Arabidopsis thaliana: one gene and its partner. The protein of the gene in region 1 interacts with the protein of each later gene in a pairwise test. Each region holds a gene or a part of one and is shown on either strand. Other genes may lie near its edges.

Region 1 (10,742 bases):
AGACTGGATATGGAGTGTAATATCAGCAAATCAATTCACAGAATCATTGACGTTATCGAGGGAGTCAGTCTTAAAGATGAGAGGCATGTGTCCAACAGAGAATCAGAAAGGCTTTCAGGTTACACTGCTCGCGTCTTGCAATGGAAAACTACAGAGCTAAGTAGTGTATTGCAGCGATTTCTTCAAGCTTGTTACGATCTATTAGACAGAAAAGCAGACATGAAGAAGTTTGCTCAAGAGCTAAGCTCTGTGTTGGAATGGATGGTGAACCACTGTTTTTCTCTTCAAGATGTTTCAACCATGAGAGATGAGATTAAGAAGCAGTTCGAGTGGGATGAATCACGGAGCGGAAGCGAAGTTGATATTGGAATATTTCGTCAGGTTTCAGAAGCAGAGAAGCTTAGAACGGAAGATGTTTCCTTTTTGGCTTGCAAAGATCAGTTGATTGAAGACAAACCTGGTAATCAAAACTTGTCGCGCAAAACGGTTGAAGAAGAGGCAAATGACAAAACAGCGAGGTAAATATGAATGCTTAAAGACTTCATGTCAGCAAAATCATACATTTTATCTCTGATGCATCCAATGGTTTTCTTGTTGCAGTGCTTCAGAGAACGAGCTCAAGCTGGAGGAAAAACAAAACATGCGAACCGTAAGTTACAAGCAGAAGAAAATCGATACCATTACATTGAGAGTTGTTTTTGTCCAAGACCAATCTGTTTTATGTGTTTGATGATTCAGGAATTGGAAATCGCTGCTGCTTCAGAAAAGTTGGCCGAGTGTCAAGAGACGATTCTAAACCTGGGAAAGCAGCTCAAGGCATTGACTAACTCAAAGGAAACAGCTTTACTTTCAGAAACACTCATGTACGACGTTACAGACAAATCGAACAACCTACCTGATGCACAACCTTCACATGAGACTACTAAACCAGAGAAGAGATTGACCAGCCAGAGATCATCTCTTTTGGATCAGATGAAGGCAGAAGATCACAACACCGGGGAATCCAAGGATCAGAAACCGCAAGCAGCAGATAAAAACGGAAAGGGAGGAAACAGCTCTGTTTACAATGAAACCATTGAGGCACTAGAACAGATTCTTCTCTCAGACAAAAGCAAAGGCTCCGACTCAAACTGCTTTGCCATTGTTCCTCAGAAAAAGACCGGCGGAGTTAAGAGCCTCTGGAGAAAGCTGTTGGGGAGAAATAAGAAAGGTAAGAGCAAGAAGGTCCCTAATCCATTTGCCAACTAAGAAGATGGTGGCATCTGTCATCTAGACTATAATCTAATACCTTAATCCTGTTTCTTTATATGGTCCCAAAGACCCAAACTATGCAAACTAAACTGTCATTTTCTAGATTTTTTTGGCAGTATATATATAATCTCCACGTAGAGTATTACTCTATAAGATGATCATTCTGCTTTATTCCACTTTTAGTCTCAGAAAGGATACAATCAGTAATCTTGACCCAATGAATCTTTAGCAGGGTTAATGTAAATCTTCAACGTAGACACTAAATGCATAAGATCATTTGATATAATGTCATCTCAGGTCTCAAAAGAACAAATTGTGGCCTTTAAAAGAGACTTCTCAATCTCTGTACAGAACAAACTTGGCGATGTCGTTAAGTCCAGCTTCCTTGTAGCACTGAGCAACCCGTTCCAGTGATTCGTCCCATGTCCCTTCAAGTGACGCTAGATTCAGTAAGAACGCAGCCTCGTCCAAAGATGCCTGAGAATTACAAGTTTTGTTTCAAGCCTTTGTATCCATAAGCATGATATGAGTATCTGATAATGAATACAGGCAAAGAACAAACCTGAGCCATTGGCTTTCCCCTGTCTATATCCCGTTGTTTTCCTTCTCCTGTAACTCTCTCCTTATACTGCGCAATTTGCTCTTCTCCCCACTCTGCTATTTGAGCAATTTCCTGGGAACCCGTTTCATATGTTCAACACTTTTTTCCCTTCTCTTTTCGATTACCAAAATTGCTTGTCGATAGTCAAGGAATTGTACCTCATATCTGCATCCTAAGGTCCACCACGAAGATTTCAAAGCACCCCTAGCTGCGTCTTTCGCTTCTAAGTTACGCCCAAGTCTACAAAATATATAGAGGTCTTAGAGTTTTCTAGAAAGGACGTAAGCATTTACCTGGGGGTCGTTCACAAGGGAGAAAGAGGGATGATGAGAAAGGATCATACGAACTTCAGTAAAACTTTTGCGTTGAAAGCGAATGGCCGGGCAAATCCGGGAAAGTTCCCTCTCTTTGTATAAAACTCGGTAGCCACCAAAGCTGAAACCTTGTATTAGCACGTGAAGATAGTTTAAAAAGAGAAAACACGTCAACTACAACAGGATAGATATAATTACTAGCCTTACATGGTCTCCATTCTCGATATGCCGAATAACTTTTCGTTCAAGAGAATCTGGAAACAATCCAACCTGAATTACAAAGCTAATAATCATATCCCAGTATCCATGTGCAGAAAAGATTCTGATATTAACAGGCTCAATATATGTACCTTTCTTAAAAGATAGGCATCTAAATCCATCAGTCTTGAACTGGCAAAGTCACCCTTACTGTAAAGTTTCTTCCCAGCTTCACCAGCAGCATTGAAGATTTCTTGGCTGCATTCTTCGGGTTTGGAAACATCTTCTTCCACCAATATTCTGTGAATGAACTGATCAACCTGAATGTTGGCCAATGAAGTCAGATATGAGAATGAACACTCAACAAAAATAACCCTAAATTAACGCATCAGTAATGCTATAAAAAGACTCATTACATTATTAGCTAGAAACCAAACCCCATGTTTCTGAACTTCCACCACAGGCATCTCCATACTGCAAACACCACAAACAATGATAAGCTACAAAAGAAGAGAAACATGACGATATTAAAAAAGCAAGGAGGATCTAACCTAGAAGGAGCTGTTGGCCACCGTAATAGAGCAATTGAAGAACCTGAAAAAGGAAAGTCATACAAACTTAATATGAAAGTGTTACAACCTCAGATAAGAACTTATGTACAAGTCCAGAATCATACCCGGGCTCATTTTCACCAACGGAATAGTAAGAGGTAACAAGCCTTGCTTGGCACCAGGAGAAACTATGGATTTACCTGATCCAATGTCATTACCACAAGCAAAAGTCACCATTCCGCAAGTTAACAAACAAAAACTTCGAAAATACGATCAGCAAGTCAGTGTAAGATTGATTTACCTCTAGCTGTGAATATATTCAGCAGCTGCATCAGATGCTTAGGAGGCTGAGCTTTTGCTATATCCTTAATGAAACATTCATGTTCTGCACATAATCAATCGTTAACTTCGATTCACTGATTGTTCAAATTCGGCACCGTAAGAATCATAAACCAATCTCAAGCCATCGCACAGCTTCCAGAAGTTGCAAATGAAATAGCGAAGATGTGAATCCCTCTCACCAGATAGTGAAGAAGAAGAGCAAAAGGATCTGGCGAAGTTTCTGCTGCCATGGAGAAGTATCAGTCTACGTTTCCGTCCGAAAACCGCCGCGCCGCGATGCATCTCAGAGTTTTCCGATCGCCGTACTGTTTCTCGTCCGATGAGATTACAGAGAGACTTCGAAAAGCTGTTGCTGAAAAAAAAAACAAAAAATAAAGCCCAAACAAATAGGGTTTAAGAGCCCATTAAATCAGAGCCCAGCAACGTTCGTGTTTGTTTTGTTCAGTTGATATAGAACCAGTCTCGAACTCTAGTAGATTCGTTGTCTCGAGCTACGTGATATTCCGGTAAACCGTCGCCGGAGATGTACAGTAGATAATTCAAATCGAGCTGCCACGTCGCTATTTTCCCACCAACTTTTTTTTTTTTAAATAATTGGAAAAAGTTTCTAATTTACACGCTTCCCAATTCGTAAACAATGTTCTTTAAAAGTAAAACGAAATTTTTTTTGGATTTGAAGATAAAAGATCCAAAATAAAAACAAAATTGAAGATAAATTTTTAGGGTTTATAACGACCCGCCAAATTCCTTCTCTCCTCCAACATTTCAGATTTCGCGACCCGGATCTTAACCCGGACCCGCATTTGTTTCGGTTCCGATCTGGTTTCTTGACAATGGCGTCAGAAGCTTCGCCTTCTTCTTCGGCCACCAGATCGGAGCCACCCAAAGACTCTCCGGTGCGTCAATCGTTTTTTTTTTTTTTCTTACTTTCTAAAAATGGAACTTTTTTCTTTGTGCTATTGAGGCATTGACTTTGATTTGCTTTAGTTTGAGTGAAGAGAACGAAACTCGATGGCTTGTTTGAGCTTCTCTATATGCTCGTTTTTAGATCTAGAGATTGCTGGATTGTGAGATATGAAGTTGTTTTTGGGTTCGTTTAGGAACCATTTTTGCTGCAATTGATAGTTTCTCTCATTGAACACTGTGTAAAGGAACCTCATTTTGATGTTTCAGGCGGAGGAGAGAGGTCCAGCTTCTAAGGAAGTATCAGAAGTAATAGAATCGCTAAAGAAGAAGCTTGCAGCTGATAGGTGTATATCAATAAAGGTTGCTATTTTTGTTTAGTTTTTTTTTTGTATGTTTTATGTGTTTCTGAATCTGATTGTTAGAAATTGATGTGTTTGTAACCAGAAAAGGATTGATGAAAACAAGAAGAATTTGTTTGCTATTACTCAAAGTTTTATGAGGTCTTCTATGGAACGAGGAGGTAGCTGTAAAGATGGCAGTGATCTTTTAGTTAAGAGGCAAAGAGATTCGCCAGGTATGAAAAGCGGAATCGATGAAAGTAATAACAACAGATATGTAGAAGATGGACCTGCCAGTTCAGGAATGGTTCAAGGATCTAGTGTCCCTGTCAAAATTTCCTTACGTCCTATCAAAATGCCTGATATCAAACGTTTGTCACCTTATACCACATGGGTTTTTCTGGACAGGTATGTTGACATTAATGTCGCAAGAGTACTTGAAAATATTCAAGTTGAAATGTAAGCCCCTCGCATAGTATCTTAACGTTATAATCACTCTTGAAATGATGCAGAAATCAAAGAATGACTGAAGACCAGTCTGTAGTGGGTCGAAGGAGAATTTATTATGATCAAACTGGCGGGGAAGCGCTTATCTGCAGTGATAGTGAAGAGGAGGCCATTGACGACGAAGAAGAAAAAAGAGATTTTTTGGAGCCTGAAGATTATATTATTCGGTTAGTATTAAATGGCAGGAGTTTAATCATTCTTGCATTTTGGTCTCTTAGTGTGAATCTCTTGTCTGCTATGTCAACTGTTATGCTGGTTTGTTCTCACTTATATTGTTGGATTAAATTTCCCTTCGTTTCTTCAGCATGACCCTTGAGCAACTAGGTCTTTCAGACTCAGTCCTGGCGGAACTAGCAAGTTTCTTGTCTAGAAGTACTAGTGAAATCAAGGTATCAACAACTTTTTTCTCTGCCTATTGCTTGTGTGAACTATCATGTGCTATTTTCTTTAGAATCAAGCACTTCAGTTGTAGGATTTCAAAACAGAGTGAGGGATGCATTGTTTAAGGAAATCCAATTAGTATTGTTCCAGCCCTTTCCCAATTGGCTTTTTGCAGAGATATGAACACCGACCATCTTATACAGGCAAGACATGGAGTGCTTATGAAGGAAAAAGAAGTATCCGAGAGTGGCGATAATCAAGCAGAGAGCTCCCTTCTCAACAAAGATATGGAAGGAGCATTAGATTCTTTCGATAACCTGTTCTGCCGTAGATGCCTTGTTAGTCCATTTGATTTTCTCAGGCTAATGTTTCATGGGTTATTGCTTAATGATCGAGCAAACATTGGTCTCTTTTTAACTTTTGTATGCATCTATGCAGGTATTTGATTGCCGGCTTCATGGGTGTTCACAGGATCTCATTTTTCCGGTGAGTTTAGTGCCAACCGAAAAAATCTTACTATAACTTTAGTGTTACTTATCTAATTTTATGGATTTTTAGGCTGAGAAACCAGCTCCATGGTGTCCTCCTGTAGATGAAAATTTAACCTGTGGTGCAAACTGCTATAAAACGGTAAATTTGTTATTTTCTCGTTGCTAAGCTCATCTCCTAGAAAGACTGGTTTAACAAAAAGCGTTGTTTTCAATTTATCAGCTTCTCAAGTCTGGAAGATTTCCGGGATATGGCACCATTGAAGGTAAAACTGGCACTTCATCAGATGGTGCAGGTACTAAAACCACACCCACGAAGTTCTCCAGCAAACTTAATGGGAGAAAACCAAAGACCTTCCCAAGTGAAAGTGCATCGTCTAATGAAAAGTGCGCACTAGAAACAAGTGACTCAGAGAATGGACTACAGCAGGATACCAATTCCGATAAAGTTTCATCATCGCCAAAGGTGAAAGGTAGTGGGAGACGAGTAGGTCGTAAGAGGAACAAAAACCGAGTTGCTGAGCGAGTTCCTCGTAAGACTCAGAAGAGGCAGAAGAAGACAGAAGCCTCGGATAGTGATTCCATCGCCAGTGGAAGTTGTTCACCCAGCGATGCAAAACATAAAGATAATGAAGATGCTACTTCCTCTTCTCAGAAGCATGTAAAATCTGGGAACTCCGGGAAGTCAAGGAAGAATGGCACTCCTGCCGAAGTCTCCAATAATTCTGTGAAGGATGACGTTCCTGTTTGCCAGTCAAATGAGGTTGCGTCAGAGCTTGATGCGCCGGGTAGTGATGAAAGTCTAAGGAAAGAAGAGTTTATGGGTGAAACTGTATCTCGAGGAAGATTGGCTACAAATAAGTTGTGGAGACCACTTGAGAAAAGCCTTTTTGATAAAGGTGTTGAGATTTTTGGAATGAATAGGTGGGTAATTTTGATGTATTTAGCTACTGCTAAATTATCATTCTGCTTCAGGTTTTTCAATTTGTGGAATATAGTCATATGGATTCTTTGTTTCTTTGCAGCTGCTTGATTGCTAGAAATCTTTTGAGTGGTTTCAAATCATGTTGGGAGGTCTTCCAATACATGACGTGCTCGGAAAATAAAGCTTCCTTCTTTGGAGGTGATGGATTGAATCCTGATGGCTCTTCCAAGTTCGATATCAATGGAAATATGGTATATTAACACTAAACCTTTTTGACTTTGTTTACAAATTCCTGATAAAATCGATTTATTTCTCTTCGGATTTAATGCTTTAGTTTCTGGACTAACCAGGTTAATAACCAAGTGAGGAGAAGGTCAAGATTTCTACGTAGGAGAGGCAAAGTGCGGCGCTTGAAGTATACCTGGAAGTCTGCTGCATATCATTCAATTAGGAAAAGAATTACTGAGAAGAAAGACCAGCCCTGCCGTCAGTTTAATCCATGTAACTGCAAAATTGCTTGTGGGAAGGAATGTCCTTGTTTGCTAAACGGGACTTGCTGCGAGAAGTACTGCGGGTAATGTAATCTATGATTATCCACATCTGTATTTCTTAGCTTTGAATCTCATTACCAACAAACTATATTTTCTGTGTAGTTGCCCAAAGAGCTGCAAGAATAGGTTTAGAGGTTGTCATTGTGCCAAAAGTCAGTGTCGAAGCCGCCAGTGTCCATGCTTTGCTGCAGATCGGGAATGTGACCCAGATGTTTGTAGAAACTGCTGGGTCATGTAAGTCTTATTGGGGATGCAAATCCATCCTAATTGGTTTCTTAGAAAATGCTCAAGAAATGCAACTTTTTTTTTAGTAGTTCCAGATGCACTTATACTGTGTCTGAATGAATTTGAATGTGTAGTGGTGGGGATGGTTCGCTTGGGGTCCCAAGCCAAAGAGGCGATAATTATGAGTGCAGGAATATGAAATTGCTCCTGAAACAACAACAAAGGGTAAATACTTAGCCTTGTTAACTAAATATCTATGATCTGCAATCAAATGATTAAACATGAAATGGCTAAATTTCCTCCTCTTTTTTATGTTAATTTCAGGTTTTACTTGGAATATCTGATGTTTCTGGTTGGGGAGCTTTCTTAAAGGTATATTAGGTTCAAAATTTGTTAAACTGATAAGTCCTTCAAAGATTAATCTATGTTTAGAGTATGAACTTGCCTTAAGAACAATTATTTTTCCTTCTTACAGAACAGTGTAAGTAAGCATGAATACCTTGGGGAATACACAGGAGAGCTGATCTCACATAAAGAGGCAGATAAACGCGGGAAGATATACGATCGCGAGAACTGCTCTTTTCTCTTCAATCTAAACGATCAGGCACGTCTCAGCAGCTTTGAAATGTCCCAACTCTCTTTCTCTCTAGTCTCTAGGTTGTCTTCAAATTTTAAAATGTTTTTGGATTGTGCTGCAGTTTGTGCTAGATGCTTACAGGAAAGGAGATAAACTGAAATTCGCCAACCATTCTCCTGAACCTAACTGTTACGCAAAGGTAAAAATGTGAAAAGTGCAAGTTAAAGATACGGTTTTCGCATGATGGGTATGTTCTGTTTTTCCTCAAAATCTTTGTATCTGTTCAAGGTCATCATGGTTGCTGGAGATCACAGGGTGGGGATCTTCGCAAAAGAGAGGATACTGGCTGGAGAAGAACTATTTTACGATTACCGGTATGAGCCAGATCGAGCTCCAGCTTGGGCCAAAAAACCTGAAGCTCCTGGTTCTAAGAAAGACGAAAATGTTACACCTTCTGTTGGTAGACCCAAGAAGCTTGCTTAGCAACAAAAGAAACAACCATTTTTTTGTCAATTCTTTGGTTACAGGTGGAAGAACGCTTTAATCCTCATTACTCTCCACACGGAAGAACACATTGAAACAAATTCATACATTTTGCTGAGTCTAAAGAAAAATTGTATTCGTTGGATTAAAATTTCCTTTTTTCGTTTTACATTTCTGGATTATCATTTTATTGTACTGAGACTCGGGTTAAAGTTTTTAAATTACAGATGAGAAACTTGGTGAGCTTTGGAGCTGACATCAATGTGGTATTCCTCACACATCACAATCTATATAAATTAAATTAGGCGTCAGTGTACATTTGGTGATCAGAAAGTAACAAAACCAAATCAGAAAACGAACATGAGCAGCCAAATTAAAATGTACATTGACGCATAAACCTAAGAATTAAGATATACAAGAATGTTTGCGATAACCAAGATATAAATGCATCTATTCTATTTTCTCTTTGAAGGGTCCATCTTCATGCATCAGTCTGATGACATAATCCATCTGCGATGCACAAAGTTACATTGTTTAAGTCGATGATCCAATTACATAGCTATGTTTATATACTCTTTTAACACCATAACTTCAAAACATACCTGATTTGATTCGCGCACTAAAAACTCGTCTATGGCTTGCCTGAAACCTTCATCGAATATGTAATGGCAACTATATGTTTTAACGGGAAGGTAGCCTCGCTGAATCTTATGCTCACCCTGCGCTCCAGCTTCTACCGTTTTCAGATTAAGCTCTATCGCTGCTTCAATTGCCTATGAATCCCATTATCAGTTTGTGAGTTTTAATCAAGTATGTCTCGGCGAAAACTCTTGAGACTTTGAAACAACAAGACCAACCTGGTAATAGCATGCTTCAAAATGGAGACTAGGATAATAGGAGTCGGGACGACATCCCCATAGTCTCCCAAATAGAGTATCTCCTCCAATGAGATTCAATGCTCCTGCAACAGGTTCCTCGTTTTCTTCAGCTAAAACAAGCAATACCTTGTCTCCCAACTTCGATGCCATGTCGTGAAAGAAATCCCTTGTGAGATAAGGTGTGCCCCATCTAAAATTAGCCGGAAATCGTTAAGCATGTGAAAGGACAAACACAGGTAATGCATACACTTGACGATGACAGGTAATTGAATGTAAGTATGTTTATTATGCACAAAGACACATAATGTGTACTAATGATAAGAAAAACAAAAATGTCTCAAAGATAAAGACTAAACTTGTTATCAGTTGTGTTCCTGTAGAAATCATAGAAGGAATCCCAGTGCCTAGCCTGCAAAAACATTAGGCACAAACGATGAATCAAATTTTTAAGACACATATTAATATAAAAGCCCCATAATGTCCTTTATAGCATGTGCCATCAGTTCTAACCTCTGGTAGCAGATTGATATCCCATGGTTGATTATTTATAGCCATTAAAATGAAAAGATACCGCCAGGCATAATCAATTACAACAAATTCGTCTCGTGGCAGTTCAGTTACATACCTTTATATCATCTCCTTGTAGCCGTCTCATTTTCAAATTCTGGGTACCAATCTACTAGAGAAAAGGAGCATTAGAAGTCAGCAGCGTGCTTGAAAAACGCCACAAGGAACGGATAACGAAATAAGGCCACAATTCAAAAGTTGTATGGGAAGAAAAAAAGAGTAACCATTCCATTTTACTATTCACATGAGCAAAGAAACTTAAGAGACAAGAATAAATTGCACAATGAGGATGATATGAAAAGAGGAAACTAAACAAACCTTTTTGCGTTCCTGTCGGATATTTTTCCTTTTGCTTTGCTTCATGTCCATCAAGAACTCGTCAAAACTGAAGTATTAGAGATAAAAAAAAAAATGAACAAAATATAATAGCAACTACTTCCAATCCAGTCATTGTTAAGAACTAATATACTGGCAACTAACTTCAATTACTTTTTATAATCACGATTTTTCCAGTGGTACTGCATTCCAATCCTTTGTGAGAAGCCTTTCTCTTTCAATTTGTCCCACTCAGCTCCAGACGGAAATGTAATGTGCAAAGATGAAACTTGTAACTGCCAAAGCCCACAGAATACAACTAGTCTGTCAGCAGTCAGCAGATA
Region 2 (5,053 bases), on another chromosome or scaffold:
TATCAGAAGAGCACTGAGCTTCTGATCCGTAAGCTTCCTTTCCAGCGTCTGGTTCGTGAGATAGCTCAGGATTTCAAGACGGATCTGAGGTTTCAGAGCAGTGCTGTTGCTGCTTTACAAGAGGCTGCTGAGGCTTACCTTGTTGGTTTGTTTGAAGACACTAATCTTTGCGCCATTCACGCTAAGAGGGTCACCATCATGCCTAAGGATATCCAGCTCGCGAGGAGAATCAGAGGAGAAAGAGCTTGAAGACTGTTGTTATGGTTTATATCTTTTGATTTAGTTCGTCAATGGAACTCTATTTCTGGATTTTGATTTGCGTTTTAGTAGTAATGGGTTCTTGTAAGTGTTGAGCTTTGGCTCGTTTTAATTTTCAGTTGTTAGGTACTTTGGTTTAGTTAGCCTTGAAGTGTTCGATGAAATACCCCAACGAAACTCTCTCCTGTTTAATAGAACTTATTTTCCTTAATTTCTTTGGTTTTGCTGCTCGTTGATCATATAATATTGAAACATTGAAAGTTTCGATTTATTTCAGATACTGTATATAACACACTAGATATTACATTAAGCTTCAATGTAGTTACACCAATTAACTGGTGTTACCAGTTACGGATGGCATTTGGTTTTGTGGAATCGGTTGTTCGTTCCTTACTCTTCTTGATGATGAGAACAAGTTAGCACTGAAGCTGGTATAGAACTGTCTTCCACTTCTAGTAGCATTGTTAATACCATCGCAAAGTGATAAGCTTCCTCCAATTGAAAACGATCTTCTCACGTTTTCTACTCTTCCTGAGCCACAGTAGTTTGCCAAATCACTTTGTGCCCTTGGAAGAAAAATGTTATGGTTTCTTCTAGATCTGGAACTGTCTTGTCTTCCACGGAGGTCATTGCTCGATTCAGAATCTGGTTGATGATTCGTCTCTGTTTCTTGATGAGGTGGTTCAGTGATAAGAAGTACAGGGGCACGACATAAAGGACAGTTCTTGTGAGAGAGCAACCAAGTGTCGATGCAATTTAGATGAAAGGCATGGCTACACTTTGGTAACAGTCTCAGCGACTCGTCTTCTTCAAACTCGTTTAAGCAGACAGAGCATTCTGTGCCGTCGATTATCCCTTCTCCCTTTTTGAATCCAACGACTGTGATCGAGTTGATCGCGGAACGGTGGAGACCGACGGTTGGGATTTGCCAAACGTGATGAAAGTCGGAGAAATCTCTCTCCTCTGTTTCGTCCTCATCTTCCTGTTGGTTTGTGTCACCGGGAGTTACGCTGGCGGCTGAAATCCGCCGTTGTTGCGTGATGTGGAGGTAGAGGAAGAAGACTAGAAATAGAAAGAGTATGATTGAGCCGACGACGCAGATCGAGGTGGGGAGTAGGAGAGAGAGCTCCCTCGGTGGCGGTGGTGGTGGTGGCGGGGGAGGGTATTGCCGGAAACAAAAGCGTAAATCTTTAAACTGTAGACATGAAAGAAGCATTTTTCTGTGATTAAACGCCATTGTAGGAGTTCAGAGACGACATAAACAGAGCAAAAACAGAGGACTTTACTTTCAGACACAACTAGTAGAAAACAGAACAAGAACAGGGGAAAATGGGTATGACACACAATTCCAAGTTTTTGCTTCTGATGAAAGCAAAAAGAAATAGGACACTAAAACCCACAAAATGGGTTAGAATCTAGACAAGAGTCATGACCCAAAAAATCTTCGTGAGGAAATAAGTGGGTACACAGCCACACACATCACAATCTACAAGACTAGGAATTAGAGAGGATTTGTCCTTTTTAAGGGTTGGAAAGTGGGTGGAAATTTCCTGAAAGTGATAACGCCATTAAAGGCGATGTCTCTGTATGTTAGGAAGTAGTTTCCTTTCAACTTAGTAAACTCTCTGTAGACATTTACGCGTAATCAGTCATGTAGCGAGTCAAGTAAGTCTTTCATTTACAACAATCTTAATTTATTTGGCATCCGGTTTAGATTATGATCGGTTTTTTCAGTTGGTTAAAGAAGGTATAACTACCGAACTACACTATCTTCACATATGTACACATTAAGCATACCAGATGTTACAGAATATAGATACATAGGTCCGGTCTAGTCGGGCTGGGCAACGGGGTCCTCTGGGACACCTTACTCGACTAATCCGATTCCACCATGAATTGTCCTTAAATGGGCATAACAAGGTTCTTCTTGAGTGAAGACGTCTAAGCAGGTCCAACAAATGTGCTTTCCACACCGGCACTTCATATGGTTACACCCATCAGTCTTCTCTATCGTCGACTTGCAAATCGGACACTCCTTTACGTTCTTCCCTTTTGCCCAGTCCTTTAGCGACAAGTCCGGATTTTCCTTGAACTTTTTGTACCTTTCACAAGTGATTAACGGGTGATACTCGAGGTGACACCTTGTGCATATTTCTGAGTGACATGCTCCACAGATGAATGGCTCACCAGATTCTTGAGGTCCAGCTACACGGTAGACGGAAGGGCAATCAGGTGTGGAGCAAAACCTGAACTTTCCATCACTGGATGTTACAAAAGAGGACAAGGATGCGCTGAAGAGTTCATCGAGCTTCTCTTGTGATAAGAGGGCTCTCATATCAGCGAGTACTATTGGAGCTCCACAGTCTATGTGAGAACAAAGTATTGGGAATGCGTCAAAGTTTCTCATCGATGCCTCAAATTGCTCCAACAAACAAGCTTTGCAGAAGAGGTGTGAACATCCTTCAAGAGAGTAGCCATCATCAACTTCAGACAAGCAAATGGGGCATTCAACTTCAATCTCATCTGGTTTTTCACCCAGTGCACTCTTTTCTCGTGCAAGTTCATTGACCATCTTTTGTACTTCCTGCCTCATTTCTTTGCTCCCATGAACCTGAATAACATGGTACCGGGTGTTGAGCTTGAGATCCACACCATGCACCTTTTCTTTGATACCTTGGAGCTCCGGACCAAACCGCTTCACAACTTCCTTCATGAGGTCAGGACGGATCTCAGGACCTCGGAGGTGGATTTCAAGTTGCTTGCTCTCATGATAATCCATAAGTGCCTGAATCAGTTCTTGTTCTGCCTTGGCAATTTTCTCACTTGTTCCACAAATGCGTACTGTGAGATTGTGCCTATCTAATAGAATGTAAGTTTCTGTCTCCTGCTGGATCTTCCGCATCAGATTAATACCATCTCTGGACATAAGATGCTGCAGGACTCTACGTGTGAAGCCTGGATGGTTTATGGGTCTTCCTCTTAAGAGTTCTTCAAGTTCTCTCCGCATCTCCGCAACGGGTCTTGTTGCATAAGCAGTAATTTTAACACGATAAGCCCCGTTATGAGTTGGTTCCAGACAGCATTCACCCCCTACAAAAATATAAACAAACGTTAATGCACATCAAAATTTGGACAAGTTCACAGGAAAAATAGGACACCTAAGCTTATGCATCCTTCAAATATCCCTTACCCTACACGATTGTTCTTAATCAATATCGGAGTCAGAAGTAGACATTCAGTAAGGTTATTTGTTGACAGAAAATTAAAGAGCAAAAGATCAAATGTTGTGTAGAAATTTTACCTTTTTGTCTCTCAAACCTTGCTAATAAAACGTTCAATTGTCTTTTGACAGTGTTGTAGATAGAAGCGGAGCAGATTATGGAGCTCTGAAACAATTGTTCGCACTTTATCTTCTGCCATGGAAGACATCCAGGTAGCACCTCCCCATTTAACTCTTGCAAAGCTTTTGCAGCTTCGAAATGTAATCTCCCGTCAAACTTAATTAACGCTCGCATGAAGTAATTGTCTTCTTTTGGTTCAAAAACTTGAACTTGGACACAGTTTGGCTCTGGATTCTTTGCTGACATGCGCGCAAATATTCTCTTATGAAGCTCTTCTTCGCAAGCAGTAGGAGATGGGCACTGCACACTGTATTTTTTTCTGAATATGAAAAAATTCAGATCTCTTCTCTGCGTTCTGAATTCCAAAACATCTAAAACTTCTGCTTCCGAAAGATCTCCAAGTCCACTTATCAAGATAGAATCATTTGACTGTTGATCTCTCTGAATATGGACATAATTTGTTCCTATCTCAAGGCTGGATATATCACCAAGTATACGGTGAATATCTCCGGAAGGGCACTTAAGACATCCTCTACCACTGCTTTCCCTTCTCGGCCAACGAATCTTAGCTGTCACGGAAGAGAAATAAGGCATCTTGAAAATTCCTCCACCAGTTGACAGTGATGGAAATAATTTGAGCACTGATCCTTTGAAATAAAATTTCTGAATTTCTGTTGCCTTCATAGCAGATTCTGGAGTGAGAAAGGTTATTCTACCCCACTTCTCCTTCTCATCACAGTCTTGCTTGTTCGCAGCAAACTTGTATATAGAGCAAATAGACCCATCAATCTTCTTCTCCAGAAACGTCAGAAGCTCTCTGTCATCAACAACATCATCGCCATAATAAAGTACATCGACTGTCAGAAATCTCTGATCAACTTCAAGATGCTTTATCTGAGCACCAGATCCAAACAGTGCAATAGGTACTTGTCCCCGACCATGATATAGATACTTCTCCAAACATTCATTATGCATCCATTTCTTTTCACATTCCAATGCATCGTTCACAAGGGCTGACACTTTTTCCATGTCGAGGGGAGGCGCATACAGTCGAATCTCATTCTGATCAACATCGACTTGAATACCAATCCTTTCATCCGAACAAAGAGACCTAGCACGAGAAACAATTGAAAGCAGACTACGATTAGATTTCCCACAGAATCGTTTTAGCACAGTGCTGCTACAACCAACCACTTTTTTAATTCGGAGCCTCCGCTCATCCATCTGGGATACGTCAAAAGGTGGTGGTGGATCAAGCATATACAAAGCTTCAAAATCACACGCAGTTACACATACCAAGTACTGGTCCACAATAGATAGAAGTTCACCGAAAACAACCCAGCTTGGCTTCTGGCCAAATGCTAGCAATGAACACGATGGATGTAACTGAACTTGTTGACCAGTCAATGCCACCTCGTATCCAAGCTGATTATAGCCAGTGTACATCGCCACGT

What was found.
Region 2: the proteins of CLF (region 1) and RING1 interact in a two-hybrid assay, tested with the Arabidopsis thaliana proteins (one study listed by BioGRID).

The regions. Positions count from the first base shown.
Region 1 is NC_003071.7:9,951,480-9,962,221, forward strand, and holds CLF (SET domain-containing protein), read left to right. Parts: upstream 1-3,612; 5' UTR 3,613-4,090; coding exon 4,091-4,153; intron 4,154-4,430; coding exon 4,431-4,523; intron 4,524-4,607; coding exon 4,608-4,909; intron 4,910-5,013; coding exon 5,014-5,175; intron 5,176-5,312; coding exon 5,313-5,397; intron 5,398-5,534; exon of another isoform or gene 5,535-5,568; coding exon of another isoform or gene 5,569-5,592; coding exon 5,593-5,727; intron 5,728-5,827; coding exon 5,828-5,875; intron 5,876-5,947; coding exon 5,948-6,019; intron 6,020-6,100; coding exon 6,101-6,801; intron 6,802-6,902; coding exon 6,903-7,053; intron 7,054-7,152; coding exon 7,153-7,376; intron 7,377-7,455; coding exon 7,456-7,587; intron 7,588-7,712; coding exon 7,713-7,803; intron 7,804-7,902; coding exon 7,903-7,950; intron 7,951-8,053; coding exon 8,054-8,182; intron 8,183-8,276; coding exon 8,277-8,354; intron 8,355-8,443; coding exon 8,444-8,638; 3' UTR 8,639-8,907; downstream 8,908-10,742. Other genes in the region: AT2G23360 (filament-like protein (DUF869)), read left to right, coding at 1-518, 601-649, 739-1,248; AT2G23370 (cyclin delta-3), read right to left, coding at 1,588-1,728, 1,814-1,924, 2,011-2,092, 2,200-2,294, 2,374-2,436, 2,517-2,684, 2,781-2,838, 2,916-2,958 and 3 more; AT2G23390 (acyl-CoA), read right to left, coding at 9,089-9,148, 9,241-9,411, 9,496-9,706, 9,873-9,925, 10,142-10,192, 10,402-10,468, 10,573-10,694. UniProt on the Arabidopsis thaliana protein: Polycomb group (PcG) protein. Catalytic subunit of some PcG multiprotein complex, which methylates 'Lys-27' of histone H3, leading to transcriptional repression of the affected target genes, mainly abscisic acid (ABA) responsive elements.
Region 2 is NC_003076.8:3,264,261-3,269,313, reverse strand, and holds RING1 (RING/U-box superfamily protein), read right to left. Parts: upstream 1,680-5,053; 5' UTR 1,496-1,679; coding exon 590-1,495; 3' UTR 501-589; downstream 1-500. Other genes in the region: AT5G10390 (Histone superfamily protein), read left to right, coding at 1-249; AT5G10370 (helicase domain-containing protein / IBR domain-containing protein / zinc finger protein-like protein), read right to left, coding at 2,126-3,348, 3,560-5,053.